Macaca fascicularis: one gene and its partners. The protein of the gene in region 1 interacts with the protein of each later gene in a biochemical or structural test. Links are inferred from orthologs where the notes say so. Each region holds a gene or a part of one and is shown on either strand. Other genes may lie near its edges.

Region 1 (10,130 bases):
GCAATACTCGGCCGACTCGGCTACTTTGCCTTTAAAGAACCGTCGCCTCATTCCACCTTAAAAGATCAGATTCCCCCTCCTCCGCTGGGAACTCAGGACTTGGTTCGGCCGAAGCATTTATTCCCCTTTAAAGCTATAAGCCTGTCTTTTCCCATTGGCGATGGGTTCAGGTATCGTTCCCCAGGCTCCGCCTCTGAGCTGTGACCATTAGCTGGTTGGTGGGATCTAATCGCCCTTTTCCTAGCTCCTTACAGCCCCCTGAAGCCCCGCCCCCTTTCTCCGGGCCTGGATTGGCCAAATAACCTTGAGTCGGCCCCTCATTGGCTTTTTCACTCCTACTGCACGAAGTGAAAAAGTAAAGTGCGTTAAGGCGGCTGAAGCACTTAAAAAAAAAAAAAAAGTACAGCCTGAACAACATGGCGAAACCCTGTCTCTACAAAAAATACAAACAACAAAAACAAAAAATTAGCCAGGTATGGTGGCACGCGCCTGTAGTCCCGGCTACTCGGGAGACTGGGGCATTATCACTTGAGACTGGGAGGTCCAGGCTGCAGTGAGCTGTGATCGCACCACTGCACTCTGGCCTGGGCGACACAGCGAGACAACAACAACAAAAGACCAGGCTAGAAAGGACAGATCGGGACTACCCCGGGGATATTGGGCTAACCCTGAGCAAGGGGACAGCTAATGCCAATCTGTAACAGTAGAAGGACAAGAAAAAGACAGTGATACAGTAAGAAAAGAACTTTATTATTAATGTTTCTGTGTAAAACTTAAGCTTTTTTTTTTTTTTTTAAAGAAACACCACCAAAAGGGGATTAGCTTAGTCCATCCCTTCCTCAGTCATCTGCTTCCCACATTCCTCCACATGCTATCCCAAAACATTCTGGAGGCAGGGAGAAGGGGAGGCAGCTAATCAGAGTCTGAGAGCACGATGATCTCTTCTGGATCGCATTGTGTGGCCACACTTGTCTGCAGGGAAGTCAGAGACAAAGAGTCAGAGATCTAGAGTACAGGAGAAAAGAAACAGACAGGAGGATTTACAGGATAAAACGGGTGGGAAAAAGAGACAGGATGTGGCAGGTGCAATATTCAGACAGAGCAGCTGAAACAGACAATGAAAGAGAACAAATTATCAGAGGAAACACGGCCTCCCCTTCTTACCTTGTAAGTACTGGGCCGAGGAGGTTGTGATTGGGGGGTTTGGGACAGCTGGGCTGGAGAAGGGATGCAGAGGGAGCTGGTCACCAGGCCATGGCTGGGAGAGTCCACCCTCGTGGAGGAATCAGCAACCGGGGCCAAGGAAGCCAAGGGGGAAGGTGGGCTGGGCAGGGTACATATCTTTTTCCCATTCTTCTCATGCACTGACCTTTGCCTTTCCACATAGCTAGAAACCGAAACATAAATATGCGGAGGGGTAAGGGAAGACTGAGGCTGGAGGAGGGCAGTCCAGTCTCTCCCAGCAGACTCAGTTCCCCAATATTCCTCTCCGAAAGTCCCCTGCAATCCCTCCTTGGCTTCCCTCTTCCTCCTCCTGTTGTTATTACCTGTTTCCTAATGGCCCTGATCCTGTTTGCTTCTTCTCCTTCCGAGATTTTTTGCAGGGGGGACCAGAATCTCCCCAGTTGTGAGGAGAGACGCCTCCATTGAAGGAAGTAGAAGAGACCATGCCTGCCCCATTCTCTAAGACAGTGGTGAAGGGCTCCTCTGATTGCTTCCTGGAAGAGGAAATGTCCATCTCCACAGAGGAAGGGGTATCCAGGGGCAAAGCTTCAATCTCTAGCTCAAAGAGCTGAGACACAGGGCTTTCTTCCTCCAGGGTCAGCTCCTCAGGCTGTTCTCCATTGCTTTCAGCATCTATGCTGGAGGGGGCCAGGGGTTCTTCTGACAGTAACAAGGGTGACACTTTGTTTTGCTGCTCCCCTGAAGACCTGCTGATCTGTTTGCCAGGTTCCAGGTTCTTTTCAGTGGAGATCTGTGGTGAGGACATGGGGCTCCCGTCTCCATCTTTACCTGGAAAAGAAGAAAAGGGGAGAGGGTAGCCCGAGAATGAGGGGAAAAAATACTGCTGAGAGGACACTAGGAGGAGGAAGGGAAAGGTCTCAAACAGGTGGCTTATGCCTAACAAAAACAAATGACAGGTGAGGAGAATGTTCCCTTGACATACCTGCTGCTTCTTCCTCTTCCTCCTCCTCTTCATCATCCTCCTGACCCTCCTGCATCTGTTCCAGATCCTCCTCCTCTTCAGAATCTGTGGCCTCCTCCTCTTCTTCTTCTTCCTCCTCCTCCTCCTCATCCTCCTCCTCTTCCTCATCACTCTCTTCATCTTCTTCGTCATCTGTCTCAGCTTTGGAGGCAGAAGGGCACCCCTGGGATGCCATTCCACTAGGGCCCTGGGGGACAAAGAAGTTTCTCTAAGGAATCCCTTGCCCTAGAGGGTTTGGTTCTTGCATTCCTTCTCATGCTCCCCCATCAGTCAACCTGGACTCCCTGGTGGCCAGTGCAGGGGAAGGACAATGTCTCTCTGAAGGCTTTACCCCATCCACACCTCACCAGAATCCAAGGAGGCGGGGGTGTCTTCAGAGTGGGAAGAGGTGCCTTGGAGCCGAGCTCTTCTCTTTTTTCTCTCGCCCTCCTCACTTTTGTCTTGCAACATTGCATATTTGGAGATGACCTCATCCAGCCGACTCATGGCCAAACTCCGGTTTTCCCGAAGGCGCCGGGCCAACACAGGATCTGATAGTGCAGGGTCAATGCCTACGTGGGAAAATATAAAGTCAGAGCACTCAGCCGTGGAAGGGACTAGAAGAGTACAAACCCTAGAAAGGACTAGAGAGATGCCCCATCCGCCTCATACCTGACATATAAGGGTCACTGAGAGGCATCCCACTAACCCCCTACCTGGCCTATAGTCATCTGTGAGGTGGCAGCCAAAGTTGTAGATGAGATCGAGGTGACGTCGTTCCTGTAACCTGATGCCCACATCTCGGAAGGCATCCTGAGCCATGAGCTGGAGCTGCTGTCGGGGGAGGCCAAGGCTGTGTCGGGCAGCTGCCTTCTCTACTGCCCGAAGCACATCCCCATAGTCAGGGAAGGTATCAGGCCCTGGCTTGTTGATGAGCCGCTCAATGCGCCTGTTAACCTCTGGGTAGCGGGTGCCACGGTAGGTGATGCGCTGCTCTATGACACGGCCGGTCAGTGAAGAGCAGTCTTTCAGCTCACATAGTCGCCCAAAGAGGCGGATCAGCTTACGCTTCAACCGTGCCTCCTGCAGGTATGTGGAGTCTGGGTCATCCAATTCTGAGAGATCCAACTCCTTTTCCTGCAGCCGCCGGATCTCTGCCACATAGAGCGCCAGCAGCTGCTCCAAGCGCTGGATCTGCCGCCGGGAACCACGGGTCCTTGGGGCCTGAGAGGCAGTGTTTTCAGCGTTTGTGGGGTCCAAGGAGAGGTGTGTGGGAGGGTTATTCCCAGAGGGCTCATTGGACGTGGTGGCAGCAGGGGCCAAGTTCAGCTTCTTTTTGGCTGAGTGGGCCTTGAGAACAGTGCAGAGCTCATTGATGTAGACATAGAGCTTAGATGGCCGGCTCTGGGCCCGAGATAGGACCCGAGAGAGGATGTTGCAGAACTCCGCCGAGGCCAAAAACAGAGAGTGGGCACGTTGCTGCCGGTTAGAGAGGAATGGGACCACCTCAGGGTGGTCCGCTGTCTGCGTCTTACAAAGTTCAAGGAACTAGAAGGTTCAGGGGAAGAAGGAAGGGGAAGAGAGACAAGGGAGGGGGTTGAGAGAAAGGGGAGTGGGGTTAGTGGGGAAGAAAGGACAGGAGAGCCAGTCAGCCATCCCCCTCCCTGGGGTACAACGATCTTCCCCGCTAAAGCTCACCTCTTGGAACAGCTTCTCATTCTCCAGCTTGTAGCACTTCTTGCCGCCCGAACTACTGCTTCCTCTGGCCCCATGAGGCTCAGAAGAGCTAGGGGCTTCTGCCCCTGGTGAGGCTGTACTGGGGAGTGGGTGGGAGGGCCCTGGCTGAGCAGCTGCTTCATCTTCGTCATCATCATCCAGCACAATGATGCTGTTAGCGGTGGCCATGGGGGAATCAAATCCCCCGGAAGGAGGAAGTGGTGGGGATTTCAGAATTCCTGCTGGAAGGGGATGGGGCCTCAGAATGAGCCCCTCCAGCATAGCCCCATCCCTTCACCTCACGCATTTTCTGAACTCCTTGGGTTTCAGCCCTGACCAACACTGTCTTCACCACCTGATTTCAATAACCATTAGTTCTATATGCTTTTCGGGCCCTTCAAGTGGTGTGTGGGGGGGGCAAACCCCCCCACACCTTAAGTTGCCACCTTCTGCTCCACCCCTCACGTCGATTTCCGGTCTTTCTGTTGCATTTCCCCACTCTTTCTCAGAGTTGGCAAGTTGGTTCTTTCTCCCACACTGCACCCTAAATCGTCCTGACACCCCCTGGCACAGACAACACACTCCTGTGGGCGCCACCTCATGTGTTTGCCCCCTCTGCCCTCAAACAAGTCAACCCCACACCCGCCCCATCCTGATCACCCCAACTCCTAGACTCTCTGAGGTGAAAGAGGTTCCCTCCCAACAGTCCGTTCTCTTTTCCCCTCCTTGAATTATCTCCGTATTTCACCCTCAGATGAGTCTCCTCAAACTGGGCCTTTAGGTTGAAGATATTTTACCCAAGTCCCCTCCCTTTCACCCCACCCTAATTTTCCCCATTCTCTCGGAGACCTGTAACTAATTAGAAGTCCCCCCGCACCGCGCTACGCTCTCCCGATTCCTCTTAGATCCCAACCCTGGGTCCGGCCGGTCCGGTAGATGCGCTTCCCGCCAAATCCCCCTCCCCCAGTTCAGCCCCCGGCCGCCCCACTCCCTTTCAGGGATAGGAAGGTACCACAGTTTTCCCCTCAGACTCAGAGCCCGGCTCTCCCCAATACCTCTGCCTCGATATCCCCGCCCCCGCCTCTGATCCCCGCACCATCCGGCCCCCACCTCAGAAACCGTCTCTCGAGGCGACCCTCGCCGCAGATCTCAGAACCTCGCATGGTTCCCTCCGCCTTCCTTCCCACTCCCACCGCAGGCCCCACTACGGACCGGAAGCAACAGAGTTTCCGCCTGCATGCAACTAAGCGCCGCCATATTGTCGTACGGAACAAGGCTTCCTGTGGCCGGAAGCGGCCGTAGGCCCGCCCCGCGAACACCTCCAGTGCCGCCCACATAGTCAGCGCGGTCTTCCAGGTCGGAGTTTGTCTCCCCGAACCCGGGCGTCCCAAAGCAGCTGGGGGCCGCCATTTTGCCGTACGGCGCTGGCTACGCCAGAACTTCGGTGCGCAGCCGGAGGAGCTCTTTTCACCCGGTGCTTCTCTGACTCCGCCAATCAGAAACTTCCTCCCTGGGGTCCAACCGCCGGCGAGTAGCGCGTGGGGAGAACGGAGCCTCCTTTCCAAGGAGGGGCAGGGGAACCGAACAGGGTGGTTTAGGAATTGGGCTTTCCAAAGCTGCGTAGGGTTTCAGGGAATGGCAGAAGTCTCTTAAAAGGGAAGTAAAACCTTTATCTTCAACTAGGCTATTGGCAAGCTATCTGGCCCTGCTTTCCTGTCCCCCAGGTTCCCATTTCCACGGCTTATTCGGCTGACCCAGCCCCTTCCCCTGCAAGGGCGGCGCGCTCCTTGCCGCTGTCCAGCAGCTGCTTCTACTGCCAGGTGCTGCGTCCCACAGTCGTTATAACACATGCGTACAAATAAGCACAATGCGCCATACAAAAGTGTTATTATTATTACTATTGTTGCTGATTTGCTTTTCAAGCTTCACCACAGAACTAATGACCAGACGGTTGGGACCTGAATGGTTCTCCTCCAGAGGGGGTCCTCGAAGGGCCGTCGGTGCTGACTGTGAGGCCGTGCTTTGTCGTGGAGGCCCAGGGTCTGCGGATGGGCGATGATGGGGTGGGGCTTGGAGGAGAGTTTGAGCCTCTGCAAGGGCTGCTGTGAAACGAAATGAGGCTCATAAAATACTTTGGGTTTCCTCCTCCTCTTCTGGGAGAGGTTAAAAAAGAATGAAGGATGAAGAAACAGACTTGATACCCACCTCGTTGAGTTTAGGGAGGTTGGAGGGAGTCGTGGAGGCAAGGCTGGGTCCAGAGGTGAGCTTATGAGGAAACCAGAAAGATTAACAAGGTCCCAATCGCAAAGATTCCCATTTCCACAAGTGGTGGGCATCTTGCCGCTTAACTAGGTTCACAGAATTTACTACATCCCTAACGCTGAGTCATAGAATCGCAAACACCCGTCCATTGAACAATCCCACATCACTTCTCTCCAGTCGTCAAAGTCTACAGCTTTCAAAATGGGGAACATAAAAAACCTCCGCGAGGACTGGAACTTGGGAGATGTAAGGGATTTAATTTCCAGAACCTCAACTTTCCCAAAATTGGTCTTCCTAAGGAAACACCTGCAGTACAGGTTCTCATTCTTCACTTCTCCTTTTACAATAGAGACACCCTCTTAAGAAAAAAGAAAAGAATAGTTCTCTCTTTTTCCCCTCCGCCCTCAAAAGTGTAGTTCTCAACCATGAAATCTCCTGGGGTATTCTTACCTGTTTAAAATAAAGGGAGATGTACCCTGTTGAACACCTTTTCTTTTTTTTCTTTTATTTCCTTTCTTTTTTTGTTTGTTTGTTTGTTTTTTTAAAGGCAAGGTCGGCCGGGCGCGGTGGCTCACGCCTGTAATGCCAGCACTTTGGGGGACCGAGGCGGGCGTATCATGGGGTCAAGAGATGGAGACCATCCTGGCCAACATGGTGAAACCCCGTCTCTACTAAAAATACAAAAAATTAGCTGGGCGTGGTGGCAGGCGCCTGTAGTCCCAGCTACTCAGGAGGCCGAGGAAGGAAAACCGCTCGAACCCGGGAGGCGGAGGTTGCAGTGAGCCGAGATCGCATCATTGCACTCCAGCCTGGGCGACAGAGCGAGATTATCTCAAAAAAAAAAAAAAAGAAAAGAAAAAAAGGGTCTTGCTTTTTTTTTTTTTTTTTTTTTTTTGAGATGGAGTCTTGCTCTGTCGCCCAGGCTAGAGTGCAGTGGCCGGATCTCAGCTCACTGCAAGCTCCGCCTCCCGGGTTTACGCCATTCTCCTGCCTCTGCCTCCCCAGCAGCTGCTGGGACTACAGGCGCCCGCCACCTCGCCCGGCTAGTTTTTTGGGTTTTTTTTTTTTTTGTATTTTGTGGTAGAAACGGGGTTTCACCGTGTTAACCAGGATGGTCTCGATCTCCTGACCTCGTGATCCGCCCGTCTCGGCCTCCCAAAGTGCTAGGATTACAGGCTTGAGCCACGGCGCCCGGCCAGCGTCTTGTTCTATCAACCAGGCTGGAATGCGGGTACGATCATAGCTCACAAGCCATCCTCTCACCTCAAGTAGCTAGGACTACAGGCGCACACCACCTCACCCGGCTAATTTTTTTAAAAAAGTTTTTTGTAGAGACCGGGCACGGTGGCTCATGCCTGTAGTCCCAGAACTTTGGAAGGCCGAGGCGGGCAGATCACCTGAGGTCAGGAGTTTGAGACCAGCCTGGCCAACATGGTGAAATCCCGTCTCTACTAAAAATACAAAAAATAGCTGGGTTTGGTGGCACGCGCCTGTAGGCCCAGCTACTCGGGAGGCTGAGGCAGGAGAATCACTTGAACCTGGGAGGCGGAGGTTGCAGTGAGCCGAGATCAGCCACTGCACTCCAGCCTGGCGACAGAGCAAGACTCAGTCTCAAAAAAAAAAAAAAAAAAAAAAAAGGTTTTCTTATAGCAACAGAGTCTCACTATGTTGCCCAGATGGATCTTGAGCTCTTGGCCTCAAGCAATCCTCCCACCTCAGCGTCTCAAAGTGCTGGGTTATGGGGTGAACCGCCACTCCCAGACTACTATCTTATTAAAAATTTATTTTTAACAGTTATAAAAATGTGTACCATCGGCCAGGCGCGGTGGCTCACGCCTGTAATCCCAGCACTTTGGGAGGCCAAGGCAGGCGGATCACAAGGTCAGGAGATCAAGACCACCCTGGCTAACACGGTGAAACCCTGTCTCTACTAAAAATAAAAATACAAAAAAAAAAAAAATTAGCAGCGCGTGGTGGCAGGCGCCTTGTAGTCCTAGCTACTCAGGAAGCTGAGGCAGGAGAATGGCATGAACCCGGGAGGCGGAGCTTCCGTGAGCCGAGATCCTGCCACTGCACTCCAGCCTGGGCGAAAGAGCAAGACTCCTTCAAAAAAAAAAATGTGTACGATCACATGTTTATAAGAACATTCTGTTCTTATAATAATTGTAACAGTTACTCCAGAATAATTTTTAACAACTAGAGTCTTACAAACACAAGAAAGATATTTTTCATCTCCATTAATATATATGTATATGCAGGAAGAGGTAAAAGTTTGGTCAATAAAGGACTTTCAAGTATAAAAGCATAAAGTTTGTGGGGAAGTGGAGTAGTAGTAGGAGCTCAAGGAGAAAAGAGGCGATGAAAGAAAAAAAGGAATGATTCCCAACTGGTAAGAACTTATTTATACTTTTTTTTTTTTTCAGACAGAGTCTTGCTCCGTACCCAGGCTGGAGTGCAATGGCACAATCTCGGCTCACTGCAACCTCCGCCTCTCTGGTTTAAGCGATTCTCCTGCCTCAGCCTCCTGAGCAGCTGGGAATACAGGCGCATGACACCATGCCCAGCTAAATTTTTGTATTTTTTTTTTTTTTTATTTTTAGTAGAGATGGGTTTTCGGCATATTGGCCAGGCTGGTCTCGAACTCCTGACCTCGTGATCCACCCAACTCGGCCTCCCAAAGTGCTGGGATTACAGGTGTGAAGCACTGCACCCGGCATCACTATGGTATTTCAATTCCACTGGACAATAAATGGTGATCTAATTGTTTTATTTTAAAATGCCGGGCCAGGCATGGTGACTCATGCCTGTAATCCTAGCACTTTGGGAGGCCAAGGTGGGCAGATCACTTGAGGTCAGGAGTTTGAGACCAGCCTGACCAACATGGTGAAACCTTGTCTCTACTAAAGATACAAAAAATTAGCCAGGTGTGGTTGTGGGTGCCTGTAATCCCAGCTACTTGGGAGCTGAGGCAGGAGAATCCTTTGAATTTGGGAGGCGAAGGTTGCAGTTAAGCCAAGATCGTGCCACTGCACTCCAGCCTGGGTGACAGAGCAAGACTCTGTCTCAAAAAATAAAAAAATAGGCCGGACTTGGTGGCTCACACCTGAAATCCCAGCACTTGGGAGGCTGAGGTGGGAGGATCACCTGAAGACAGGAATTCGAGACCAGCCTGGCCAACATGATGAAACCCTGTCTCTACTAAAATTATAAAAAAATTAGCTGGGTGCAGTGGCGGGCACCTGTAGTCCCAGTTGTTTGGGAGGCTGAGGCAGGAGAATTGCTTGAACCTGGGAGGCAGAGGTTGTCGTGAGCCAACATCGCACCACTGCACTCCAGCCTGGGCAACATAGAGAGACTCTGTCTCACAAAAATAAATAGGTCAGGCGCGTGGCTCATGCCTGTAATTCCAGCACTTTGGGAGGCCGAGGCGGGCAGATCACGAGGTCTAGGAGTTCGAGACCAGCCTGGCCAATATGGTGACACCCCTTCTCTACTAAAAATACAAAAATTAGCCAGGCGTGGTGGCTGGCACCTGTAGTCCCAGCTAGTTGAGAGGCTGAGGCAGAAGAATCGCTTGAACCCAGGAGGCGGAGGTTGCAGTGAGCCGAGATTTTGACACTGCACTCCAGCCTGGGTGACAGAGCAAGACTCCGTCTCAAAAACTAAAAAAAATTTTTAAATAATAAATAAATAAATAAAATTAAATAAAATAAAATAAAATAAAATGTGGCCAGATGCTGTGGCTCACCGCCTATAATCCTAGCACTTTGGGAAGTTGAGGTGGGTGGATTGCTTGATCTCAGGAGTACAGACCAGCCTAAGCAACATAGTGAGACCTCATCTCAATAAATAAATAAATAGGCTGGGTGCAGTGGCTCACGCCTGTAATCCCAGCACTTTGGGAGGCTGAGGTGGGTGGATCACTTGACATCAGGAGTTCCAGACCAGCCTTGCCAACACGGTGAAA
Region 2 (10,046 bases), on another chromosome or scaffold:
GGAATCAGGAAGCCATAAGGAGGAGGTGGAGCAGCGGGTGGGTCAAGATGCCGCAGCAGCAGCAGGAGGAGCTCGTGGGGTCGGGGTTACCCCCATCCCCGTGCAAGCCGACTTGGCGTCCGAGGGCAGAGTCCAGACCACAAGGAACTGGAGCTCAGGAGAGACTCGTGGTCCACATCGCGAGAAAGCTGTGGGAATCCAAATACTGTGGCGATTGGCAGCCCCGTAGGCGAGGCGGGCTGGAGACCCGCCCGGATTTAGGCGCGAGCCACCTCCAGGGGCGGAGCCCAAGCCGCACTGCGCAGGCGCGGCTAACCCGTTTCCATGGCTGCGAGAACTCACGCTCCCCAACCGTCCCACAACTGTCCTGTCCCAGACTTTGGCACCGTCGGGGTCCGTCGTCCCCGAGTGTGTCAGCATCCCCACCCCGGCTGCTGCCCAGGATCCGCCGGACCCCGGCCTCGATATGGGAGACCTGGAACTGCTGCTGCCCGGGGAAGCTGAAGTGCTGGTGCGGGGTCTGCGCAGCTTCCCGCTACGCGAGATGGGCTCCGAAGGGTGAGGCACCCGGGTCAGGCGGAGTCACGGAGTCATTGTCCCTGAGTGGGGGAGCTGGAGCCTGACATGGGGGGAGGGGCTGCCCAGTGTGGAGGGGCTCCCAAATGGGGGAGCAGAGTGTTCCGAGACAGGAATATAATTGTTCCTGAGCCCCCTGTGTCCCCTCAGGATCAGGTTAGGCTTCAATAGGATCCAGCCCCCATCCCCACTCCAAATGCACACACGTGGACCCACATGCACTTACACAACCCTCTGAGGCAGGTGGAACCAGCAGCACGAGAACCTGGAGAAGCTGAACATGCAAGCCATCCTCGATGCCACAATCAGCCAGGGCGAGCCCATTCAGGAGCTGCTGGTCACCCATGGGAAGGTACCCCGAGGTCACAGGCAGGGTTCCTGCCTTCCCCCATACCTCACCTACTCTAACCCTCAGGAGTCCCCTGTGTGCTTTTCCCCTCTGGCCTGGTACACCTGTCCTCCCTGAAGGGGAGAGAGGAATGTGTTACATGTTTCATTTTGTGTCGCTGTTGGACAGGACTCTGGCACACCAGGCTAGGTACAGGGCATGAGTTGATTAGGGAGAAAGCTGTAGGTCCTAAAACAGCTTAGGCTTCGAGGGGAAGGCCCAAATGCTAAAGGCATCTGTGAATTGACTGTAAGGCTGGGGAGGGGGTGGGGAGGGCAGGAGGGAGGGGAGATAACTTAACTGGAAGTAGAACTTTGGCATGGAAGGAGGCAGCCTTCCTAACATGAGAGGGGAAAGTTAGAAACCAATGAGATGGCTGGCTGGAACATGGACCAGGGAGTGTCACCAGCAGATGACCTGAGATATCAATTGACCAAAAAAAAAAAAAAAAAAAAAAAAGCCAGGCATGGTGGCTCATGCCTGTAATCCTAGCACTTTGAGAGGCCAAGACGGGTGGATCACCTGGGGTCAGGAGTGCAAGGCCAGCCTGACCAACATGGTGAAACCCTGCCTCTACTAAAAATACAAAAATTTGCTGAGCATGGTGGTGCACACCTGTAATCCCAGCTACTCGGGAGGCTGAGGCAGGAGAATCGCTTGAACCTAGGAGACAGAGGTTACAGAGAGCCGAGATCGTGCCACTGCACTCCAGCCTTGGTGACAAGAGTGAAACTCTGTCTAAAAAAAAAAAAAGAGTTCCTTTGCAAGAGAAAGGTGGAACTCATACAAGGGGATAGGATAAGAAGAACAGGGCACTGTGAAGGGTCCTGAGTAAGAGTGAGGCCAAAGGCACACAAGAGCCTTAGAGAACCACAGGACAGGGACAAGAGGGAGGGCATGAGCAGAAGGGCTGACTTGAAAGGGACGCCTGAATGGGCGGGGAGAGGATAACGGGGCAGGTGCAGGCAGGGCAAGGCAGTCTGGGAACTGGGCAGGAGCCAGTCACATAAGCATGAGGGACATCCACAGAGGTGTTGGGAGCAGCTGGAAACGAAGGTCCGAAATGCAAGAGAAAAGTCAGGAAGGATAGCCATGGGGTTTGGGATAGTTTAGGGGCCCAGCAGTGTTTGGGGAGATCTGGGCTGAGCTGAGCCAAGCTGGGGATGGGAGGGTTGCCAGGCAAAGGTAGGCCCATCTCATCCCTGTCCTTTACCCCATCCTTCAAAGGTCCCAACACTGGTGGAGGAGTTGATCGCAGTGGAGATGTGGAAGCAGAAGGTGTTCCCCGTGCTCTGCAGGGTGGAGGACTTCAAGCCCCAGAACACCTTTCCCATCTACATGGTGGTGAGCTGGGCCCCTGGTTCATACCTCCTCCCACTCCTTCAGAGGGCTCTGGACTGGGGAGGGGAGCTGGTAGCCCCTATCCCTACCACAGGCCCTGTCCCTCTCTTTGTCTGTCAGGTGCACCACGAGGCCTCCATCATCAACCTCTTGGAGACAGTGTTCTTCCACAAGGTGAGGGACTATCTCTGCCCATGGGCCACAGTTTCAGGTCAGGGCCTGGCAGGAAGGGAGGTTGTATCTGTGTGGGGAGGGCATCAGACACAGAAAGTTTCCCTCCCCCTTTCCCCAGGAGGTGTGTGAGTCAGCAGAAGACACTGTCTTGGACTTGGTAGACTATTGCCACCGCAAACTGATTCTGCTGGTGGCCCGGAGTGGCTGTGGTGGCCCCCCTGAAGGGGAGGGGTCCCAGGACAGCAACCCCATGCAGGTGGGTTGAGGTTACCTAGGATTGTGAAAGCCTAGGTCTGGGTTCCCCAAGGCCTGCACAGGCAAGGGTAGCCCAGCATGAACACTGTGTGACCTCGCAGGAGCTGCAGAAGCAGGCAGAGCTGATGGAATTTGAGATTGCACTGAAGGCCCTCTCAGTACTGCGCTACATCACAGACTGTGTGGACAGGTGGGCAGTCCGACTGGGCCTGGGCCTACCGTGGAGGGCTGGAAGACTGGGCCTGTAGCCTGCCTCTGCTCACCTCCTTCACAACGTCCCTGCCCCTAGCCTCTCTCTCAGCACCTTGAGCCGTATGCTTAGCACACACAACCTGCCCTGCCTCCTGGTGGAACTGCTGGAGCATAGTCCCTGGAACCGGCGGGAAGGAGGTAGGGTCCTCCCACACCAGCCTAAGCCCCAGGCTACTGCTTCAGGATATCTTTTTGATAGAGGGGGCAGTTTGCACACACGAAGACAAACCCCGTCCCCAAGCCCATCTGAGGATACCAGGATGCCTCAGCCAAGAGTGGCCTAGACCTGAGCTCTGCAGCAGGCCAGGCCCATGTGTCCACTACTGAGGCTCACTCTGCTCTGGGGTCAGCAGCATTATAGCCTGGGCAAGTCCTGTGGCCCAGGTTCTCCCACCATTCCCAGGCAGTGGTCAGTCTCCCAGGCCCCACAGCTGGCTCACTTGAAGAGAATGCAATGCCTGTACCCAGTGTGCTGGTTCCTCTCCCCAGGCAAGCTGCAGCAGTTCGAGGGCAGCCGTTGGCATACTGTGGCCCCCTCAGAGCAGCAAAAGCTGAGCAAGTTGGACGGGCAAGTGTGGATAGCCCTGTACAACCTGCTGCTAAGCCCTGAGGCCCAGGCGCGCTACTGCCTCACAAGTTTTGCCAAGGGACAGCTACTCAAGGTCGGACTCCCTCTGCACCAGCCCCCACAGCCCCAGCACCGCCCTCCCCATCCTACCCTGACCCTGTCCCTGCTGTTTATCTTTGCCCACCCACCTCAACCCCCGTGCTCTTTTCAGTCCTTGGGCCTCAGGTGACACACCAGCTAGTGGGACATGGACCCCCACAGGCATGCTCAGCCCAACCCAGCCCCTTCCTTTTCCGTGGCCCCCTGGCCAGCACCTGCATCACACTGGCCTCCACTGGACACTCTTGCAGCTTCGGGCCTTCCTCACAGACACACTACTGGACCAGCTGCCCAACCTGGCCCACTTGCAGAGTTTCCTGGCCCATCTGGCCCTGACTGAAACCCAGCCCCCTAAGAAGGACCTGGTGTTGGAACAGGTAGACACTGGAAAGTTAGCTCCTCAGGACCACTGTCCTACTTTACCAGCACCTTCCTGCCACTCTCCACTCCTTTCCCTAGATCCCAGAAATCTGGGAGCGGCTGGAGCGAGAAAACAGAGGCAAGTGGCAGGCAATTGCCAAGCACCAGCTCCAACATGTGTTCAGCCCCTCACAGCAGGACCTGCGGCTGCAGGCACAAAGGTAAGTCCTGTGGAACTGGCAGGAGGAGTGGATGGGATGCAGGAGGCATGGATGTGGGCAGGGATGCCCCCACCTTCCAAGGCCAGTCAGACCTTCCTGACTTTCCCCCAGGTGGGCTGAGACCTACAGGCTGGACGTGCTAGAGGCAGTGGCTCCAGAGCGGCCCCGCTGTGCTTACTGCAGTGCAGAGGCTTCTAAGCGCTGCTCGCGATGCCAGAATGAGTGGTATTGCTGCAGGTGAGGGTATCCTAGGACCTTGGACCCCTAAGTCCTACTGCCACATCCCCCACATGCACTGCCCTCCTCAACACCCACCTGCCTGCAGGGAGTGCCAAGTCAAGCACTGGGAAAAGCATGGAAAGACTTGTGTCCTGGCAGCCCAGGGTGACAGAGCCAAATGAGGGTTGCAGTTGCTGAGGGCCAACCACCTATGCCAAGGGAATCCACCCAGAATGCACCCCTGAACCTCAAGATCACGGTCCAGCCTCTGCCGGAGCCCCAGTCTCCGCAGTGGAGAGCAGAGCCAGCGGTAAAGCTGCTGACCCATCCCCCTCCTCCCCACCCCAAGGGAAGGCTCGAGACTTCCTGCCCCACCTGGTGGGCAGGCCAAGTGCGTTGCCTCAGCAAACTGGGCCAGGAGGGCGAAGGCCGGATGTGGGGACCCTCTTCCTCTAGCACAGTAAAGCTGGCCTCCAGAAACACGGGTATCTCCGTGTGGTGCTTTGCGGTCGCCGTCTTTGTGGCCATCCGGGGTGGGGTGTGAGGAGCGGACGAAGGAGGGAAGGAAGGGCAAGGCGGGGGCTCTGCGAGAGCGCGCCTAGCCCCGCCTTCGGGCCCCAGAGTCCCCGCACCCAGGTTTCCATTGCACGGCTCTCCTCAGCTCCTTCCCGCCTCCCAACTTAGATCCTGGGGGCGGTGCTGACGTCGGGGCCCGCCCTGTGGCCCCGCCCGGCCCGCTCTTGCTAGCGCCCAAAGCCAGCGAAGCACCGGCCCGACTGGGCCATGTCGGCGGAGCCTGAGCTCATTGAGCTGCGGGAGCTGGCACCCGCTGGGCGCGCTGGGCAGGGCCGCACCCGGCTGGAGCGTGCCAACGCGCTGCGCATCGCGCGGGGCACCGCGTGCAACCCCGCACGGCAGCTGGTCCCGGGCCGTGGCCACCGCTTCCAGCCTGCGGGGCCCGCCACGCACACGTGGTGCGACCTCTGTGGCGACTTCATCTGGGGCGTCGTGCGCAAGGGCCTGCAGTGCGCGCGTGAGTAGCGGGCCCCGCGCGCCTACGAGAGCGGAAGGGGCAGCCAAGGGGCAGCGCCGTCGCCGCGGGTCAAGTCGCGGCAGAGGTGGTCGGTGGGGACAGCTCCCGAGGACTAGGTCCGTTACTTTCGCCCCATCGCTGAAGAGTGCGCGAAAATGGTTTATCCCTTGTCGCACTCCACTCGTATATGGGGCACAGATGAGCAGAGGTGGCAGCTTATATGTAAAAATATGCTGATTTCAAGTTTCTTATCTTTAAAATGCCTTGGCCTTTCTTGAGAAAGGGTTTGTGCCTACTGTCCTCGGAGTCCATCTTCCCAGGCTTGCCTCTTCTCAAACATTCACTCACTGTGACCCCCTCCAGAACCTTTGGGGTGAAGGGAAGTTACCCACCTATGGGAGGGAGCCTGGAAAAAGTTAGAACCTTGGGTGTGCCCCCTGCAAGCAGGAGTTTTGTTGAGTATTTAGCAAACACCCTTGAATCAGAAGCTAAAATATGGAAGGCAGCCACACACCCAGCAGTCCTTCTGCACCCCTGGGAATCGCCAGCAAGCAAAGGTTGCTCTCCCCTAGCTAGACACCAGCTGGAATCACCAGGGGCGCTTTTACAGCCCTCCCACCCTCTAGCCTGGATGCCACCTCAGACCCATTGAATCAGCTGCTGGGAGTGGACTCAAGGCAGCAGTAAATTTTTTTAAATCCCCACATTATTGTAACATGGAGTCTGGGTTGAGCATCAGTGCTCTGACCCATTTAGGAACTAGTGGATAGATGGTGTCCCAGGTCTGTATGTGCATGGAGACCCTCTCATCTGGTACAAGAGGACATCACAAATTCAGCTGGGGGGAGCACAAAGTTGTGACAGAATACAAAGAATAAACAAGGGCCGAGCACGGTGGCTCAGGCCTGTAATTCCAGTACTTTGGAAGGCCAAGGCGGGTGGATCACCTGAGGTCAGGAGTTCAAGACCAGCCTGGCCAACATGGTGAAACCCTGTCTCTACTAAAAAATACAAAAAAATTAGCCAGGCGTGGTGGCGGGTGCCTGTAATCCCAGCTACTCAGGAGGTTGAGGTGGGAGAATTGCTTGAACCCAGGAGGCGGAGGTTGCAGTGAGCTGAAATCACGCCACTGCTCTCCAGCCTTGGGGACAGATTGAGACTGTCTCAAAAAAAAAAAAAAAAAAAGAAAGAAGGAAGGAAGGAAGAAAAAGGCTGGGACACTGCAGCATTCTCAAAGAGAAATAAAGTGGCCATAGAGATAAGAAGCAGGATGATTTGGGCATGTTTATCAGAGGTAGAGACAAGGGAGGAATCAACGATAAGTTTGGGTTTTTGTTTCCAGTAACCGGGAGCATAGTGGCCATTTTTGCTGCAAAGAGGAAGCTGGGCAAGGGTAGCAGTGAGGTGGAAGAAAAGGGAATTAAATTTTGGCCATGTTCACTTGAAACGTCTTTTAGACATCCTAGTGAAGGTACTGGCACGGAGGATCTAATCTGAGGGTTTAGGTCAGTGTTTCAGCTGTGGATCTGGGGCAGAAGATTGTGTAGACAGACCAGGCCAGCGATCAGGACTGAGCCCAGACTTCATCATGAGATACGGAAGTTGAGTCAGAATCTGCAAAGGAGCTGAGCAGGAGCTGCAGGGGGGTAGGAGGAAAACTGGCAGTGTAGCCCCTGGGAGTCAAAGGGAGCAAGCTTCAAATGATGCTGAGTGGGTGAGAATGGAGAATGGAACACTGCATTCCATTTGGCAGCACATAGATGGCTGAGGACCCTGTCCTGGGCAGTTTCCTGGAGGGAGAGGCAAGCCTGGCTGAAGTGGGTAGATGGGAGAGTGAAGGCGAAGGATTAGAGTGTATAGAGACCAATGTTTTGGTCTGAGGGGAGTACAGACAGATGACAACCAGAGGGCAGAGGTAGGTTAAAGGTGTTTAGTTTTTCCTTCAAGTAAATGGGCAGATGTATTCCATAGAAGTTCCCAATGAAGGGCCGGGCGCGGTGGCTCACGCCTGTAGTCCCAGCACTTTGGGAGGCCGAGGCGGGTGGATCACCTGAGGTCACGAGTTTGAGACCAGCCTGGCTAACATGGTGAAACCCTGTCTCTGCTAAAAATACAAAAATTAGCGGGGCGTGGTGGCGGGCGCCTGTAATTCCAGGTACTCGAGAGGCTGAGGCAGAAGAATCGCTTGAACCCAGGAGGCGGAGGTTGCAGCGAGCCGAAATCGCGCCATTGCACTCCAGCCTGGGTGACAAAAGGAAGACTCCGGTTTTTGGTTTTTTTTTTTTAATTGCCAATGAGGAAAGGGGAAGCTCTGTGCTAGGCGACAGAGATCCCAACTGTTGAGCAGGCCTCTGCTGTGGCCTTCCGGCCGGTTTCCAGACACCCAGGGTGGCCAACATTAAAGTCCGCATAGCAGTGTGAGGTAAAACACTGAAGCCGGGCCTGCGGAGCCTGGCGGGCAACGGCCCTCTTCCTGGGGCTTCCCTTCAATCTCCCGGACATTTCCCCGACCTGGGGCTCCTCCGCCTCACGGCTAGGCCTCTCTGCAGATTGCAAGTTCACCTGCCACTACCGCTGCCGCGCGCTCGTCTGCCTGGACTGCTGCGGGCCCCGGGACCTGGGCTGGGAACCCGCGGTGGAGCGGGACACGAACGTGGTGAGCGCGGGGCCGAGGGCGTATGGGAAGGGCGAGGACGGGCAGGCCACAGCGCAGGCATTCTCGAAGACTGCCTGGGTGCTGCGCGCAAGGAGCGTTCTAAGTGCCGATTTCCCGGCGGCAGAGAGAGGCTAATTCTGAGCGAGGGCTGAGAGGGGTGCCTGGATTGCCGGCTCCGCAAGGCCTCCACTGGCTGCTAGCAGACCCCAGCCGCTAGCAGTCCCCGGCCAAGGCGGACGCAGGCTCCGCGCACGCGCACTTCCCGCACCTTCCCGCCCTCGCCTCCGGCCAGAGGCCACCCTTGTGCGCTTGCGCGGACGCTGGCACCCGCCCCGTTCCCTGTGGTAGGTGGGGTCTCTGAGTGGAGCTGCCGGAGCGATGAGGTCATTCCTCGGGGCTAAGTGTGCGTGTCCCCGCCCCGGCGTTCCTCCCCCAATGACACAAGAGCTAGATCCCGGCGATCTACGTTTCAGTCTTAACGGTTGCGGCGCGGCGCTGGCCCGGGCGCACGCGCACACTGACACGCGTACACGCACGCACGCGACCGGGGCGGTGGTTGGCGGCTACGGACGCGCGGGACCAGGGGGACGGGCGGGTGCGGCGATGGGCGAGGCGGAGACGCCTTCTTTCGAGATGACCTGGAGCAGCACGACGAGCAGTGGCTACTGCAGCCAAGAGGACTCGGACTCGGAGCTCGAGCAGTACTTCACCGCGCGAACCTCGCTAGCGCGCAGGCCGCGCCGGGACCAGGTGGGAGCCCGGGGGTGCCGGCGGGGGACGGGAGGCGATTGCTGGAGCTCCGCCCTCCCCGGTCCGTTGCCGCGTCCTGGGTCGGTGGGCAGCCCCACCCTCCCGGCTACGTGGCTCCCCGCGTGTCCTGGCCGGTGGCCTGCCCGCAGAACCGTGTGTAAGACCCCGATTCCACCGCCTCGATACTGGTTGCCTGGGCCCCCATGGTTTCTGTCACAGACAGGTTGAACAGGGAAAGCAGCTGTGTGGCTTGTGGTAGACCTGAGCCGGGCATTATCAAGCTATGACTAAAGCCGACCGAGCAGTCTGGACTAGCACCTCGATTTCCGCGTTCAGATGCTCCTGCTCCCTCCTTGGGGAGACTAGGGGAGGAAGTGGAGAGGGAGGAGTCCTCGCCAGGAATTGAGAAGTATGTTTAGGAAAACTGAGAGGCAGAGAGAGATCCTGCTCCTCCATTTGCACTCCTTTACGGAGCCAGCTGAGCCCTCACCTCTTCCCTGTTCTGGCCTGTCACCAGCTGCTGGAATGTGAAACATTTTGATCCCTTCCTCTAGGGTGGATCTGGAGAAAGATTTGGAAATAGGAAATAGGATAGGAAAGAAGTCTTATTTTGGACCATAAGCATTCAGGAGCACTTTACCCACAAGAAGGGGGAAGGGTAGATTATAAAATGCCTAAAGAGGTGGAAAGAGATCCAGGTTACTAACCCAGGACTGTAAGGTGTCTCGGAACCTCCTAGGTATCCCCATTATTAGAGAACTCTGTGCCAGATGCCATGGGTGTGACCACCAGGCTCAGAGAACCAGGCCCAGGCACCAGGAAAAAGAAATAGGGAATGTGAAGCTCAGTATGCCTGGCAGCAATGGGGCGGAAATCCTTATTTAAGTGAAGAAAGTGGAGTTGTGAGTGATGCTTTGGATAAAATTTTACAAAATTCCTTACAAAAGGGGTGGTGCTCAGCACCCCAAAATCTTAGCCCAGAGCTTGGGTGCAAGGGTTGAGTGTAAACCCCTGGGCTTGTCTTCATGTCACTCAGTCCTGAGCCATTTTCCACTGTGGGAAGGTGGGAAAACCACAAGACACTAACCAATTGAAAAGGAGGGCTAGGCCGGGCGCGGTGGCTCAAGCCTGTAATCCCAGCACTTTGGGAGGCC
Region 3 (9,939 bases), on another chromosome or scaffold:
CTTTGAGGGCAAGACAGAGGCAGGGCAGATCCAACAGGCAGCTGAGGACCAGTCTTTTTGGCCTGCACATCCAGGAGATGCCTAGTTCCCGGGCTTCTAGAGGTGCCCCCTAAGGTGAAAATACTTCCATTTCTTGGCAGCAGGTGCCTTTAGGGTGCTGGCGGCCTCCTCTGCCTAGACCTCGGTTTCTTCTATGCGAAATAGAAACCTGAAACGTCTTCCCAGGCCTAAAGGGCTAATAAGAACCGAGGACAAATGTGGTGAGGTGAGGTTTTGGAAGATAGGAGCAACGCTGGCTGGCTCCAGGGCCACCGCCCCGTGACCCTAGGGAGGGCGTATCAGCGCTAGCACCAGGCGCCGGGTCCAGCCCCCTCTCCACATCGTATCCCCTTCTCAGTCCCCCCTCGTAGGGTGCGATGACGCCGGGCCGGCCGACTCCTCGGAGGCAGAGATTTCGGGCCTGGGGGTTGCCGGCCGGTCCCCCCCGGGTCCGCCGTGCCGGGCGGCCACTCACCGGCCCCCGTCCCCACGCCGCCCCGCTCCGGGGACAAGCAGCCCTTCTGCGAGCCCAGAAAGCCAAAGCTCGACTGCTGGAAGCGGTCAAAATCCCCCAGGGGCAGCGCCCGGTACCCAGACCTGCCCAGCATGGCTTTTGACAGGAGACACGCCCCGCACGCCACACGGCGCCCTCCCTGACCAGCGGGCCCTACGCGGCCCCGCCCTGCTGGCTGCTGCTTCCGGCTTCACCCACGCTGCCACCCGCTGCAGCGGCGGGCGCAGGAGGAGGAGACTGGCCGGGGCCCGCTCCCGCTGTCGTATGGCGTCCCCAGTGCTGGGAGGACCGAACTGCAGCCGAGGGCCAAGGGGTGTGATCGGTGTTCCCGGGAGCACGCTGGGGTCGTCGCCTCCTCCCGTCTTCTACTCAGCCTTAGAAAAGCTAAAGGGGAAGCTGGGCACGGTGGCTCACGCCTATAATCCATCAGTTTGGGAGACTCAGGCAGGAGGATCGCTTGAGGCCAGGAATTCAGGACCAGCCTGAGCAATACAGTGAGAGCCTATCTCTACAAAAAATTTTGAAAAATTAGCCTGGCGTGGGGATGCCTGCCTGTGGTCCCAGCCACTTGGGAGGCTGAGGCGGGAGGATCTCTTGAGTACAGGAGTTTGAGGCTGCAGTGAGCTATGATCGTGCCACTGCACTGCAGCCAGAGAGAGAGAGCAAGATCTCATCAGGGTTTACAGGAAGCGAATCTTCTCCAGGATCAAGGACATGCTATTATCAGCCTTCTCAGCACTCCTTCTCGCACACTGGAGGCAGGGCATGCCATATCTGGACTTTGGGTTTCTCTGGGACATAGTCTGCAAATTATTCCTCTTTGTGAACCCATAGCCCAGCAAGCAGGGACTGGCATAGGGCAGATCTCAGTACTTATTTGTTAAGTAATGGCCTAGCCAGGTCACCGTGATCAAGGTGGAGTAGGAAGGCCTGAACTTTGGCACAAAAAGAAAGAAGTTTCACATGCAGACCTCGGGGAGCATGGAAGTGTAAGGAAGAAGGGGGTAGCACAGAGCCACATGAGGGCAGGGGCCCCAGAGCACCACAGAGGTGAGGCCCTCAGTCCTGCAGGTCTAGAAACAGCATGCCCCTTGATCTAGGTAGCTGAAATTAACTGGCCTCTCCAGGGCTTGAGAAAACCTGAATGCAACTTGCGAATTTACTTTGAGAAGTGTTAACTTCCAACAGAACTCTGGGGTAGTCTGGGAGCAGGCTATCTTTCAAAGCAAGCAAATAAATGAATAAAGCTTCCCCAGCTCTGCCTCCTCAGCCAATCGCCTCTGGCCTCCAAAGCCCCATCCTGCCATAGCCCACTTCCAGGTCCCTTGTGCAGATGGCTGCCCACCATATTTGGCTTTCATGGACTGATTCTCTAAAGGCCTGGGAGTACTGACCAGGCTGGAGGGAAGGGCAGGCTCCTGAGGCCTCTTACAGTCCCTAGGAAGTTGGGTATCCACCCAACCCTTGACCTCCAGCCCGCATACTATAAGGTTTACAAGAGCCAGGCCCTATCATCATCCTTTCTAGTCTGTTTCTAAGTTGGAACAGAGTACAGAATGGGTACACAGGAGCCAGCACAGTGGTTGCGATGGTTTAAGTTTGAAGCCAGGGGCACTGGCCCAGTGAGGTCACCTGGAGCTGTGCCCTTTCCCCCTCACCAGCTGGGAGTCTGGCATGCTTTTCCACTGGTGAAGACCTACCTGGCTCTCCCCTCTCCCTCTTCATACCCGCTCTCCAGCTCTCCCCCTCCCTCCTGCCCCCACCACCTCACATCCACCAGCCTTTCCAGCTGTCACTCAAGGCGTCACCCTGCTCCCTCACCTCCAGTCACTGGCTTCCCAGGATCTCTGACTCAAGACCCTCCTCTGCATCCCACAGCCACTGTCCTAGACAAGGGTATGTGCCCCTAGGTTGTTAGAGTGACCGTCCCATCATGCACAGCTGATCATGTTGTTTCCTGGTTCCAGATCCTTCACCAACTTCCCATCACTCCCAGAACTGGTCCAATCTCCTTAGTTAGGATCTTGTCCCAGCACACTTCTTGGGCATCATTTCTCATGAATTCCCTCTTAAATCTGAAAACGGCCAAAACTAGTTCCCAAACAGGCTTTCGTGTTTCAAACTTCCATGCCTTTTGCAAGAGCTATCTTTCGTGTTTCCAGTGTCCCCTGGACCCCACCACCTACAGCCCTGAATCCCTGGTGAATTCCCACTGCTTTTTCAGGTCCCAGCTGAGGGCTCTCCTTTCCAGAATGTCTCCGTTTGCAAGCTTGCTCTTCCATTACATCTGGGGCTCTTAAAAAGCAGGGGCTGCGTGTGGCTCATCTTTGTGCGCCCAGCTCCCGGCAGGAGGTGGCACGAAGCAGTGCCAGTGTGAACTGATGAATGGATCAAACCCGGGGGCGGGGCTGCCCCTCTGCAGCTCTGCCCTGCCTCTCCCGCTTTACCGTAAGCCAGCAGTAGGTCTGCGGCTCCCCGCCTCTCCTTCCTCCCCGCTCTGGGCGTGTCTTTAAAACCCACAGTCGGCCTCTCTGCCCCTAGAACCGCCCCCAGTTTGTGTCTCACTTCCTCTCCAGAGGCGGGCCCTGAGCTGGCACCTCCCCTTTCGGACAGCTCAAGGGGCTCAGCCAACTGGCTCACGCCTCCCCTTTAGTTTCTTTTCACGCCCTCCAAGATCTAAACCGAGAATCGAAACTAAGCTGAGGTCCATGGAGCCTGCACCCGCCCGATCTCCGAGGCCCCAGCAGGACCCCGCCCGGCCCCACGCGCCCACCATGCCTCCCCCCGAGACCCCCTCGGAAGGCCGTCAGCCCAGCCCCAGCCACAGCCCTACAGAGGTACTATTGGGTTAGGGGATGATGGGGTTAGGCTTTGTTGGTTTGCTGTGGTGGGGAGAGTGGGGAAGAGAGGGTCTAACGGAGGATTTGGTCAAGTACGCTAGAGAGTGACACAAAGCGGGAAGACCACACACCAGGGTCCTGACCTTCTTGGCTGGGGCATGGGAGGGTAGGATAGAGTAGAAAAGAGGACCCGGAGGAGTTGGGGCGGCCTCGCTGGGCTGCGGTTTCTCCACGGAGCAGTTGGGCAAGGTGAGAAGGGTCAGTGGCCTCCGGGCCTGGGCCCTTCCGCCCACCCTCGAGCCCTGGTCAACCCTGCCTCAGATGCAGGACCACAGATTAGGGAGGATGGAAGTGGTAGCCCTGTTGCGCTGGCCTGGAGCCAGGAGCATGTCCCAGGCACAGCAAAACTAAAACCAACTTCCCAGATCCGAGGTGAGAAACTGTGGCTCAGACTGAAGAGGTATCTTTGCCAAGGCCTCCCAGCTCATGTGGTTTCTGCTTAAGGAAGCCTCCCTAACAAACCCTTCTCTTGCCACACCTGTCCTGCCTACCTCCCACCTCCACCCCCAAAGGAACTACTTGGGTTTCTTGTTCTGCTGTCTTCCAGGCCCTTTTGCTCCCCTTCATGAAAGTACAGAGGACACTGTATTACAGTAACTTTTATAAGCATTATTACAACTAAGAATAACATTACTTAACAACACTAGCTAACATTTATGAGCACTTCAAATGTGCCAGGTACTGTATTAAGCACTTTGGTTTTTTGTTGTTTGTTTTGTTTTGTTTTTTGTTTGTTTGTTTATCTGTTTGTTTTTGAGATGGAGTCTTGCACTGTCGCCCAGGCTGGAGTGCAATGGTGCGATCTCTGCTCGCTGCAACCTCCTCCTCCCGGGTTGACGTGATTCTCCTGCCTCAGCCTTCTGAGTAGCTGGGATTACAGGCCACACCACTATACCTGGCTGATTTTTATATTTTTAGTAGAGATGGGGTTTCACTATGTTGGCCAGATTGGTCTCTAACTTCTGACCTCGTGATCTGCCCAACTCGGCCTCCCAAAGTGCTGGGATTACAGGCGTCAGCCACCATGCCCGGACTGCTTTTGTATTTTAAAAATTGTGGTAAAATATACGTAACGGATAAGCTCCTATGTTAACCATTTCTAAGTGTAACGTTCAGTGGCATTAAGTAGATTCACAATATTGTGTAACCATCACCACCATCTATTTTCAGAACTTTTTAATTGCTCCAGAAACTCTGTACCCTTTAAACCATAGGGGAGGGAAAGATGGCTTCCCTCCACCCTTCTAGTTTCCTTGGCTGGGCTATGAATTAAATAGTCATAAAATAGATTAACAGGGGGAAAACCCATATTTAATTACATATGTATACTCAGGAGTCCCACAAAGTATGAGACTCAAAGAAAGGTCAGATGATTGAAGCCTATATAACATCCTGATCCACAGAAAAGAGCTTGGAGCTTCTGGGTGGTGGTGATGACACAAGTTATGGGAGGGTGAGGAGAGGAGCTGTTGTCTTGCTATGTAGATAAAAAGTTCTTAGATAATAAGAGTTGTCTGGAGCAGCCCTCTTTTAATATAGACCATTTTACTAATGTAGATTTTCTTTGGGATGCAAATGCCTTTCTGTTTTACAAAAGGAGAGCTTTTCAGAGCTATTCCTGTATCAGCAGTTTCTCAGAATAACCAGCTTAAAATATGCCAACAAAGTATATTTCAAGGGTGGCATATTCTGGCCTCCTGCAGTCATATTTTGAAGTGGTGTGTCCTGAGTCTCAGTAAAGCAATAGCTCCTCATTTTCTCCTTCCCCTAGCCCTTGGTAACTTCTAATCTACCTTCTGTCCCTACGAGCTTACTTATTCTAGATATTTCATATAAGTGGAATTGTTACCAGTAGACGGTCTTGACCGCAAGTTGTTCAGGTTCTTGGCGTTTTGAACAAAGAATTGGACAAAATGCACAGCAAAGCAAGGAAAGAATGAAGCAATGAAAGCAGAGATTTATGGAAAATGAAAGTACACTCCACAGGGTGGGATGGGTTGGAGCAGGGCTCAAGGGCCCAAGTTACAGAATCTTCTGGGTTCCAAATATGCCCTAGAGGTTTCCCATTGGCCACTTGGTGTTCACCCCATTGGTTGTAGAAAGCAACCAATCAGAGGTGCTTTCAATTTTCCATCTGCCAGGCAGGAAATGGGGTGTTTTGCAAAGAGAGTAGCCTCTGGTCCTTTTGTTACTTGGGCGTGGAGAGTTCGGGTTTTCCTTTGGATTTAGTTCTAGGAAGTCAGAGGGAATCGGCCTTAGGTTCCCTGCCTCCAGACCCTATTCTCCTGCCTCAGAATCATACAGTATTTGACCTTTTGTGTGTGGCTTATTTCACTTAGCATAATGTCATTGAGGTCCATCTATGTTGTAGCATGATCAGAATTTCATTTCTTTCTAATGCTGAATAATATTCCATTATATGTGTAGACCACATTTTGTTTATCTATTCATCTGTTGATGGATACTTGGATTGTTTCTACATTTTGACTATTGTGAATAATGTTGCTCTGGACATTGTTGTACAAGTATCTGTTTGGGTCCTTGTTTTTAGATCTTTTGGTTATATATGTAAGAGTGAAATTGCTGGGTCATATGATTGTTCCATGCTTACCTCTTTGATGAACCCCCAAACTGTGCATTAAGCACTTTATATGAGGTTGGTACTTACTGTATCTACCTTCCAAACTGAGTTCCTTGAAGGCAGAATGTATCCTATACCTCTTATATCTCAGGGCCTAGTACTGTGTGTGATGAGTAGATGCTCAATAAATGGTGCAGTGAGAGCAGGAGGGCCTGAATAAGTGGGAGTATTGGGGTGCTGATAAGCCAGGGTTTTGCATCATCCAATGACTGGCTGGAATGGAATATGAGGTCCTACTCCAGGCTCCAGCTGTAAGGGTGGTTGGCCAGTGGGTGGGGGCTCTTGGGACTTCTCCAGGCCTCACCCGCCTCTCTGGTCCCCCAGCAAGCCCCCTCTCCGGAGGAGGAGTTCCAGTTTCTGCGCTGCCAGCAATGCCAGGCTGAAGCCAAGTGCCCGAAGCTGCTGCCTTGTCTGCACACGCTGTGCTCAGGATGCCTGGAGGAGTCGGGCATGCAGTGCCCCATCTGCCAGGCGCCCTGGCCCCTAGGTGCAGACACGCCTGCCCTGGATAACGTCTTTTTCGAGAGTCTGCAACGGCGCCTGTCGGTGTACCGGCAGATTGTGGATGCACAGGCTGCGTGCATCCGCTGCAAAGAGTCCGCCGACTTCTGGTGCTTTGAGTGCGAGCAGCTCCTCTGCGCCAAGTGCTTCGAGGCACACCAGTGGTTCCTCAAGCACGAGGCCCGGCCCTTAGCAGAGCTGCGCAACCAGTCCGTGCGTGAGTTCCTGGATGGCACCCGCAAGACCAACAATATCTTCTGCTCCAACCCCAACCACCGCACCCCTACACTGACCAGGTGAGTGGGCTGGCACAGGGTGGGATGGTGCATCCAAGAACCAGGTAGAGGTGAGAGGAGCAAAGATCCAAAGAGTCACACAGCTGAGGACAAGGAGCTTCTGGGGCCTTGCAACTCTAAATGTGGTCTGCAGATATGCAGCATCCGTGGTGACGACCGCAATTTATGCTGCCAGTCCCCACGCAGGTGGATAGTAAGTTTCCAGTTTCCTCCTGTAATAAATAATGCTGCAGAATCATCTTTGCATTGTTATCCAGTAATTTCTTCAGGATAAATTTTTAGAAGTGCCACTGCTGGCTGTAGGGGGACAGAAATTCTACATTTGATACATGTTACCAAACTGCCCTTTAGAAAGTCTTCGAGTGAAATTTTCCATGAGCGCTGACAGAGAATCTCAGTAAGGCTGGATTCTAGGATCAGAGGCAGGTAGGTAGTTTCTGTCTGAAAAGTTGAGACCATTAACACCAGGCAGTGCTATCTGAGAGTGTCTGTATGGGAAAAAAAAATCACATCCAGTTGTAATTGTTTTTATTAAACAGATTTTAATTCAGTTTTTTAATAGGTAATACATTTGTACAGTTCACGAACAAAATTTATAAAGAGGAGAGAGAGAGTGCAGTCTTCTGTCCATCCTCAACTGTCTAATTCCCACCACTTCTCCCTCTTCCCATCCACAGGTAGTTTTGAATGTTTCTTCTGAGAGTTTCTTTATGACTATATATGCAGGTAGCAGCAGTCTTCTCAGGTCCTATTTTCCCTCTTTTAGCCAAAATGGTAGCATAACTATGTGAACTTTCAACCATCAGAAATAGATTGTTTATAGAAGGCTCTTCTTGGTTCTTAGGGATCCACTTGCAAAATGGAAGCATTTTTCCCTTGTTTTTGACAACTCAGAACTATATATGGCTAAACCACATACCTGCTAAACTACATATCTGCTAAACTGAGTGTGGTTTGTTTCCTGCTTTAGGATAAACTTCCCCCACTATCAGAATAAGCTTTCCCCTCTGACTTCTCAACAGCTGGTATCACCACATTTCTTAGCTTGTTGTAAAGGTTGAGTGGCTTTCCACTTGTTTATTGGCCATTGTGTTTCTTCATTTGTGAATAGCCTGTTTAGGTCCTTTGCCTGTTGTTGTTGTTGTTTCCTTTGAGGAATTAAGGGATTAATTAAGGAATTCAGGAACAAATTCCTCGAAGGAAAAAAATTTATGCGTTTCTTTTGCTCTTACAATTTGTGCAGTTTTAAAACTTACATATTCATTGGATTTTGATTGAAATTGCAATAAATTAGGGGAAATTGGCTTTATCTCTGGTTATATCTTTTGGATTTAAAAATTTTTTTTAATTTTTTTTTTTTTTTGAAATAGAGTCTCCCTGTATCACCCAGGCTGGAGTGCAGTGGCGCGATCTTGGCTTACTGCAACCTTCGCCTCCCGGGTTCAAGCAATTCTCCTGCCTTAGCCTCCCAAGTAGCTGGGATTACAGGTGCATACCACCATGCCTGGCTAATTTTTTGGTATTTTTAGTAGAGACAAGGTTTCACTATATTGGTCAGGCTGGTCTCCTGACCTCAGGTGATCCACCTGCGTTGGCCTCCCAAAGTTCTGGGATTACAGGCGTGAGCCACCGCACCCAGCCTTATACTAATTTCTTAATGAATTTGTAAGCTTTCATGTTTTGAACATGATAATGAAGCCATCCCACGGGATCCATGGGAGACTGGTTCAAATTCATAGATGCTCAAGTCTGTGATATAAAATGGCATAGTATTTGTATATAACCTCTACACATCCTCCTGTATGCTTTATTTTTTATTTTATTTTTATTTTTTGAGACAGGGTCTTGCTCTGTCGCCCAGGCTGGGGTGCAGTGCTGCACTCGTGGCTCACTGCAGCCTCAGTCTCCTGGGGTTCAAACAATCCTCCCACTTCAGCCTCCAGATTATATGGGACTACAGGTGTGCACCACCACGCTCAGCTAATTTTTAATTTTTTTTGTAAAGACAGGGTTTCGCCACATTGCCCAGGCTGGTCTTGAGAATTCTTGGGCTCAAGCAACAACCCTCCCACATAGGCCTCTCAAAGTGCTGGGATTACACGTGTGAGCCACTGTACCCAGTCTCTCCTTGTATACTTTAAATCATCTCTAGATTACTTATAATGCCTAATACAGTGTAAATGCTATGTAAAGAGTTGTTTTACTATATTTTTGAATTTGTATTATTTTTTATTGTGGTCCTTTTTTTTATTGATTTTTTTTTCCCTGAATATTTTTGATCCAAGATTTGTTGAATCCACAGGTGTGTAACCTGCAGATACTGAGGGCCAACTGTACATATAAATTGTTTAACATAGTGCCTGGCACATATTAAATACTCAATGAATGTTAAAATTCTATTATAATTTCTCTGCTCTAGAACAGTTTGAAGAATATAAGAAATTTAAGCTTATAAAAGTTTTTTGAAAAACCATCTTGGAACTGGTGCTTTTTTATAGTAGATTTTTGAGAACTTTTCCCATTTTTACCATGGAATTAGTCTGTTCTGGTTCTTGTGTCAGATTTTTGGAAAATTTTCCAGTTCATCCTGAGTTATCTTTCATAATTTAAAAATCTCAGCCAGGTGCGGTGGCTCACGCCTGTAATCCCAGCACTTTGGGAGGCCGAGGTGGACAGATCACGAGGTCAGGAGATTGAGACCAAAGTGGCTAATACGGTGAAACCCCATCTCTACTAAAAATACAAAAAATTAGCCAGGCATCGTGGCGGGTGCCTGTAGTCCCAGCTACTCGGGAGGCTGAGGCAGAAGAATGGACTGAACCCAGGAGGCAGAGCTTGCAGTGAGCCGAGATCGTGCCACTGCACTCCATCCTGGGCGACAGAGAGACTCCGTCTCAAAAAAAAAAAAAAAAATCCTCTATGTCTGTAACTGTACCCCCTTTTTTTATTTCTGATGTTGTATATTTGTGGTTTAGTGGTCTTTTCAAAGTACTGTACTTTTAGTCTTTCCTGAGATTGCTTACTGATTTTAATATTTTCCTTCTTTCT

The links.
Region 2: the proteins of DAXX (region 1) and RASSF1 form a complex in vitro, tested with the Homo sapiens proteins (4 studies listed by BioGRID and IntAct, with this or other methods). The link is inferred for Macaca fascicularis from reciprocal best matches to the Homo sapiens genes DAXX and RASSF1.
Region 3: the proteins of DAXX (region 1) and PML form a complex in vitro, tested with the Homo sapiens proteins (2 studies listed by BioGRID, with this or other methods). The link is inferred for Macaca fascicularis from reciprocal best matches to the Homo sapiens genes DAXX and PML.

Annotation. Positions count from the first base shown.
Region 1 is NC_088378.1:138,375,886-138,386,015, reverse strand, and holds DAXX (death domain-associated protein 6), read right to left. Parts: upstream 5,110-10,130; 5' UTR 5,065-5,109; coding exon 5,012-5,064; intron 4,144-5,011; exon of another isoform or gene 4,091-4,143; coding exon of another isoform or gene 4,074-4,090; coding exon 3,884-4,073; intron 3,734-3,883; coding exon 2,902-3,733; intron 2,758-2,901; coding exon 2,549-2,757; intron 2,394-2,548; coding exon 2,168-2,393; intron 2,014-2,167; coding exon 1,548-2,013; intron 1,388-1,547; coding exon 1,165-1,387; intron 973-1,164; coding exon 913-972; 3' UTR 730-912; downstream 1-729. UniProt on the Homo sapiens protein: Transcription corepressor known to repress transcriptional potential of several sumoylated transcription factors. Down-regulates basal and activated transcription.
Region 2 is NC_088376.1:113,371,598-113,381,643, reverse strand, and holds the start of RASSF1 (ras association domain-containing protein 1), read left to right. Parts: upstream 1-5,195; 5' UTR 5,196-5,236; coding exon 5,237-5,486; intron 5,487-8,035; coding exon 8,036-8,142; intron 8,143-8,613; exon of another isoform or gene 8,614-8,745; coding exon of another isoform or gene 8,746-8,892; intron 8,893-10,046. Other genes in the region: ZMYND10 (zinc finger MYND domain-containing protein 10), read left to right, coding at 467-558, 820-928, 2,192-2,308, 2,426-2,479, 2,598-2,735, 2,836-2,924, 3,024-3,124, 3,476-3,648 and 4 more. UniProt on the Homo sapiens protein: Potential tumor suppressor. Required for death receptor-dependent apoptosis. Mediates activation of STK3/MST2 and STK4/MST1 during Fas-induced apoptosis by preventing their dephosphorylation.
Region 3 is NC_088381.1:50,915,905-50,925,843, forward strand, and holds the start of PML (protein PML), read left to right. Parts: upstream 1-3,231; 5' UTR 3,232-3,261; coding exon 3,262-3,390; intron 3,391-6,418; coding exon 6,419-6,891; intron 6,892-9,939. Other genes in the region: STOML1 (stomatin-like protein 1), read right to left, coding at 515-647.